Linked DNA regions of Cricetulus griseus. The protein of the gene in region 1 purifies or fractionates together with the protein of each later gene. This does not show direct contact. Links are inferred from orthologs where the notes say so. Each region holds a gene or a part of one and is shown on either strand. Other genes may lie near its edges. The genes, in order: Tcp1 and Wdr5.

Region 1 (3,034 bases):
AAAGAGAAGCTTTTGAAGTGTCAATATTTCAATTCAAGACTTCTGACCCAGTCACATACATCACTAATAAGTGGTTTGTCTCAGGCTGGGAGAAGACATACCTCCAGAAGCTTTAGCGATACGCTTGAGATCCCTTTTTAGAACTCGTCTAACAGCCATGGCACCAGCCTCCACAAAGTACTTCAGACACATATCATCTATCCCACCAGTGGTCAGAATAACATTGGCCCCAGTCGCCAGAATCTTTTCAATTCTCTCCTTGGTGATGTCTGATTCTCTACAGAGAAATGTTTCAGTAAACCAAAATTAACAACTTCAGTATTTTAGATTATGCAGTTGTAACTTTCACTACAATTTGAGTTCTTAATTAAGGGTGGCAAAAAAAGGGAAAAAAACCAAAATGATAAACATCCCCCTTTGTCTTCTCCCACTTAAAGATGCAATAGATTTATTACTAATGATCATCCCAAGTCAGCATCACTAAAGCTGTATGAAGTCAAGACAAGAGACAAGTAAGAGACACACAAATCCAGTCCTACACTGTAGAATAAAAAAGTGGTTCAGCGCTGAACTAGAAGTTACATAAGACCAGGAAATGAAAACCCTTAAGAGGTATAAACAGTATATTCAACAGTAGATGGTGAAGATGCTTAATGTTCTGAAGCACAGCTATGATGGTCAAATTGCATTTTTTTTCAAATGAGCCTATGATTTTTGTTTTGTTTTGTATTTTTGTTGTTGTTTTTTTTGAGACAGGGTTTCTCTGTGGCTTTGGAGGCTGCCCTGGAACTAGCTCTTGTAGACCAGGCTGGTCTCGAACTCACAGAAATTCGCCTGCCTCTGCCTCCCGAGTGCTGGGATTAAAGGCGTGCGCCACCACCACCACCCGGCTGAGCCTATGATGAAAATGTCTGGAGAGATGAAAAGACTCCAGAGATAAGTAATCTATCAAGGACAGACAGCTTGACCAGAGTTCATCAGTGGACAATTCATTCATTGTTTGTTTTTAAAGACAGGGTTTATCTGTGTTGCCCAGGCTGTCCTGGAACTTGTTCTATAGACCAGGCTGGCCCAAACTCAAGAGACTCCCCTGCCTCTGTCTTCTGGGATTAAAGGCACGTGCCACCACTGCTTTGGCTCATTTGTGTACATTTCTAACAAGTGTCAGATGAACTCATCAGGAAGCATGAAAATCATAAGCAAATATATATGAGATCACAAATCAATTATTGAACCCATATCACATCTACACAACATATTGGTCAGTCACAGTCCAATTACACAATAGCAATCCCATCAGAGTAAAATGGAATAAAGCATGTCTGCTGGAGTGATGCCACAGCAATCACTACCAGCTGTGTCACACTATAGTAGTACATAGTATCTTACATGAGAACTATAGCAGCCCTACATAGTATCTAACACTCAAGGCAACACTCTGCTGCCCATGTTGACTACAATTCCTCAGCTTAAATGATCTACCTGTTTCAGACATGTAAAGATAGGACATGCCTGGCTTTACTATTATTTTGTATCATACTTCTACCAAGCACAAACCTTGATTTACAAACACCTTTTCACAGGCAAGTCTCCCCACATACCTCTGTCTAATTTGGTCCAATTTCTCAGGATCTGTAATAACCACCTGCACACCAAGCTTCATTTTTGTTTTCTGCAGGCTGAAGTCAAGACATGCAATTTTTGCATTAACTATCCTCTTGGGCATGCCTGTAAATGAATAAAAGGTTAACTATAACAATGCTAGGGTTCATAGAAGAGACTTATCCTTAAAACCATAACAGGAAAAGTTCACGTTATATATAAACCAAATTAAGATAGCAATTCATTAATAAAGTCTGACAGTTGCAAGTGCACACAATTCCTCTCAATCTATACCCACCACAAAATAAAAAATTGTTTTTTTTTTAAAGGCAGGGTTTCACTATGTAGACAAGGCTTAACAGTGCCTCAGTGCTCAAATTAAATGCCTGTATCACAATGCCCACCCTCATCACAAATATTACAGCCTATTAAGAGGTATACTAAGGGGCTGGAGAGATGGCTCAGAGGTTAAGAGCACTGACTGCTCTTCCAGGGGTCCTGAGTTCAATTCCCAGCAACCACATGGTGGCTCACAACCATCTACAACAACCATCTACAATTCAATTTGGTGCCCTCTTCTGGCAGGTAGGCAGAACACTGTATGTGTAACAAACCAACAAACAAATAAATAAAAGATGTATACTATGAAAAATACACAGATAGACAAAACTAAACCAACAAACAACAATGCTGACCCTTACGTACCCTGAGATCCCACCACACAGTTCAGTGCATAGCCATTGATCAGCATGCTTTCTACCTGACTTCTTCCATGGGCTTTCAGAATATTAACAGAATTGACTGGATATCGAGGCTGGCCTCTCAGATCTGTGTATTTGACAGCAAGTACAGCATCTACCACCATATTAGCAAAGAAATCACCATTTCTGAGACAACAGTTAAGGACAGCAATAGTCTTGGAATAAAAGACCCAAAGACACAAAAAGCAATTCAACTAGACTTTCTTTTAGCAAGACAATTCACCAATGGAAGACAGTAAGTAGTACTACTATAGTCAGGGTGACTTCCCTCTATGCAGCACCATCTGCACTCCAAACCACCCTCTCACCACAGCAAGGCTGGGGTGGCAGCAGCAGTTTCAGTCACTTTTCTCTAACAAGATCAAGTTGCATTAGATAAGAATTATAAATTTTATTGCATAAAATTGACATTCTATAAAAGCCTAGTCTAATTTTTAAGAGTGAAAGGGGGTTAGGGTCAAATTTCACTGAACATTTAAGGATACATTCCAATAATTTTGGAAGACATGGATGTCTTAGCGGCATTAATCAGACAGTCTCTTCCAAGTTCGTCTGTGTTAATAATTAGGTTCTCACTGATATAGCGCACTGCTTCCCTGGGAAAGGAACGGCAAAGAAAAATATAAAAACATCACTCAGAGGTTTTGCGTTTCACCACATCCAACACGCTG
Region 2 (3,823 bases), on another chromosome or scaffold:
TAAACCCACATCTTTAAAGGGAATTGTACCAAACTTGTGTATCAAAAGACTTAAGTCTTCTTTTGAAGGCTAAGGATAGGCTCTTAGTCTCTCTTGCTTCAACTCCTGGGTCTGCTGCACCACCCCTCAACCTGTTACCTGGGGCTGGCACACAGAAAGCCAGGCCAGCCGCGTGCCTGAAGCTCACCTTCCCCTTGCTGTAGTCCCAGAGCTTCAGAGTGCTGAAATAGAGAGTGGGAGTGAGGAGCAGCCCATTTTTGGCCCCGCCACGCCTCTGATGCCACCACTTCCCAACAACCATGGGTGTCAGGATAGAGGATCCATGGCACACAAGAGCAAACACAAGGACCCTAGTACTTGTAGTTCAGAGACAGACTGAAGAAAAGAGGTTGCTGGCTGTCTTCCCCAAACCAGGGGTTAGCCATAAGCAGAATGTAGAAAACCACGTGGGCTCCAGAAACATCTTCTGCTCACTCATCCTCCAAACAGAGGTGCATGCTGGCCATGGGAAGAAATGGTAGGCTAACCAGGATAACATCCATCAGGAGCTCTCAATAGGGGTGAGCAGGCAAGGTTCCTTTAAGACCCTATACAGTGTACCAGCTTACACGAGCACCTAGAAGGGGGTCAGAGGCTGAGAACTGGCTTAAAGCCAGCCTAGTATGTGTGAGGCCATGGGCTCCAGCCCCTCACTGAAAGCAAACAAACCAAAAGTCAATGAGCTCAGAGGCTCAAGAAGACCTTCAGAGGCTACCTGTCCTGCCTCATCTCTGTGTAGGAAATCTTTCTTATACTACAACTATCTGGAGTGGACAGCCTTTCTTCAGCCCCTCAGCCCACAGTCCAGGGCTAAGCACTAATACCCAAATGTAAAACACCTCAACTAGGCTACTGGAAGAGAGGAACCCCACCCATGAAGGTTGTGTCCAAAGCACTCACTTGTCCAAAGTTGCGGCCAGGATGTATTTGCCATTTGGAGAGAACTTCACAAAGGATACTGGAGGATTGTCATCATCTGCACAGAACAAAGACAGGCTGACTCTTGGCAGAGTAGAGAGGCAGGACAGCTCCCTGTCACCCATGCAGGAGGACATCTGTGTGAGGCCCCTGCCACCTATACTATTACCACTACTCCTGAAGGCCCTCCAAGAGCCTGCCATTCCATTTCCCATCACCTTTGTTGGTCATTCATGTTCTTAAGTCTTCACCCCTGTGCCCTGCTAATATGAGGCTTCACCACATGTGAAAGGAGGCCCAAAGCTCCCAGCAGAGCTGAACAATTGATCCCCTTGAAGAAAGCTGCCTAGCCTAGGGTAGTACTGCAGACACATTCCCATTCTGCAGTCAAGCAAGTCCTCCTTTCATGATGGTCATGCCTCTGCCTGCTGAAGACCAGGCTACTGACTTTAGCCTCAGCATTCAGTGAGGCAGGTGGGGAGGCTGCAGCACTGCTGAAGAGCCAGGCCTCCTAGAAACTGCCCACATAAAAACTATTTTCCAGAGCACAATGATGTCATATCCTCTTTCACAGTGGGCCCTTGGGGGGTCTGCCCCTTGCCTGGGTGAGAAAGGTGTGTCCTGGGGTGGACCTGCCTGGCCAGCCAAGGAATCATACCAGGCCCTAAGATGTGCATACAAAGACTAGTGCATCCTGACACACGCATTACCACCAGAGGTTCGCAGAGGGCTCTGTTCCGTGGGACTGATCACACACACTGAAAGGGACATGACAGAGTGAGGCCAGTTGAGGCCACAGAAGGCCATTCAGTATCAGTCAACATAGAACAGTACCTGTGCTTCTTCCCCAGGCCAATCTGAAACAGATTCCTAGAGAAATATCACTGACCTGTGCTAAGCAAGCCTCAATGATAATCTTAATTTCTAGCCAAGTGGTGGTAGCCCACACCTTTAACCCCAGCACTGGGGAGGCAGAGGCAGGCGATCTCTGAGTTCGAGGCCATTCTGATCTATAATGAGTTCTAGGACAGTTAGGGCTACAAAAACAAAACACAACAAAACAAAACAAAAACCAACCAAACAAACAAAACAAAAACTGTCTTGAAATGCCAACCCTTCCTAAAGAAAATCAGTTTTTAAACCCGAAGAGACACAGGGAAGAGAAAGAGACCTTGGGCCAAATAGGCCTGCTTACCTCAGTCTAGGGCTTACTGCCCGTTGCCTGCCCAGATTTAAATCCTTGCCCTGCAACCTGGTTGTCCACCACAGACCAAAGTTTAACCAACAACTGATATGCCTGATAACCTGAGTTCAGAACCCATGGTAGGAGAAGAGATCTAATTCCTGAAAACTGTCCTCTGACCTCGCATGTGTGCATGGCACACAGACACACACACGCTGTACGTATGTACTGGGGGATGGGGTAAGCACACAATACAGTTTTTTGTTTTGTTTTGTTTTTTGTTTTTGTAATAAAAACAACCTCACAGTATTTATTGTCACCTGATAATAACATAAGGGCCACGAAAACAATATGAATAAATGTTTCCGACTGTGCTCCCAGCAGAAGACACCTTTAAAAACACTGTACTTCCTCTTCCACTTCTCACGTGCCTGAGTTTCTAGTTGGAAACACTTTGGAGCAGAGTAATATTGTCTCCTTTCAACATGATTCGACCCAGTTGTTTCCTTAACTTTGTTTTAGAGTGAATCTCTTCTGCATCATCTAATACGAGGTTTATGTACTCATCAAAGCCAATAATACAGCCCTCTATCCGCATATTCACTTGCTCATATCACCACACCTGAATCTGAGACCTATTTTGCAAGTATCTGAAGATGAGGTTGATGGGCTGCACCATCACCTTCTGCACCTTCTGGCCCTGGCTGTAGTACGCCATGGTGGAAGTCACAAAACGGTTTTTTTTGTGAGTGTAGTAACTCTAGCATTCACCACCCTGTGTCAACCTCTTTGAGCTGCCTATGATGGCTGCACCTGAACTGGATATATACCTTACTACTTACTGCACATCATTCCAACAGTGTAGTACAGCAGCCACCTCCTGGCATCTGTTACATCCACACACCCAGTACTTTAAACCACCTCAAGAGTTAAACAACAGGAGGAATGCACAAGTCACTTGTAAATGCTGCATCATCTCAAATAAGGGACCTGAGCATCCAAGGACTTTGTGTTCCATGGAAGGTCTTTCTCCCACAAATACTGAGGGATGACGGACCTGCTATGCTGCTTCCCAGCTAGCTGACCTCTGTACCTAAGATGCTACCCTGTGGGCAGGGATTTTGTCCTCAGTTCACAGGGTTGCAGACGGTTACAAGGTGGTAACATAAGCACTAGGTATGTGTTGCAGCAGCTGCTGTATGACTTAGCACCAGAGAGGTACTGGTATAGAGGACTGGGAGTGGCATGTACAGGACATTACTACCCAACATCTGTGACTGCTCTGAGAAATCAGGAAGCCCCAAGGGTGGTTCCACATAGAAAGAAAAGCATAAAAGTCATTATCCACCCCCCCCAAAAGTCATTATCCCAGGGTGAACTGTGTCCCCAAACTCATGAAGCCCATCTAGAGATACAACAACTGGCTGATTTGGGGAGAATATCACACATGTGATGGTAATAGTGGGATGTGTTAAATGTAAGCATGTCATGAAGCAGTTGAGCACAGAGAAACACAAGGGTGTACATGACATCTGCAGGCCAGAGAAATGTTAGAAGTCATCCAGCTCATGCTTGTTGCTGGGCCACCTAAACTCCAATTGAGAATGAGTTCCTGTCTTCTCTGACAATTCAGGCATTATCCTAGCAATTCGGCAGGCCACAAAGGCCACACTAGTTTTCATA

The links.
Region 2: the proteins of Tcp1 (region 1) and Wdr5 purify together in Homo sapiens (affinity purification with mass spectrometry; 3 studies listed by BioGRID and IntAct, with this or other methods). This does not show direct contact. The link is inferred for Cricetulus griseus from reciprocal best matches to the Homo sapiens genes TCP1 and WDR5.

Annotation. Positions count from the first base shown.
Region 1 is NC_048595.1:288,140,826-288,143,859, forward strand, and holds part of Tcp1 (T-complex protein 1 subunit alpha), read right to left. Parts: intron 2,960-3,034; coding exon 2,849-2,959; intron 2,490-2,848; coding exon 2,308-2,489; intron 1,729-2,307; coding exon 1,602-1,728; intron 278-1,601; coding exon 102-277; intron 1-101. UniProt on the Homo sapiens protein: Component of the chaperonin-containing T-complex (TRiC), a molecular chaperone complex that assists the folding of actin, tubulin and other proteins upon ATP hydrolysis.
Region 2 is NC_048599.1:139,208,721-139,212,543, reverse strand, and holds part of Wdr5 (WD repeat-containing protein 5), read right to left. Parts: exon of another isoform or gene 1,024-3,823; intron 1,016-1,023; coding exon 940-1,015; intron 222-939; coding exon 188-221; intron 1-187.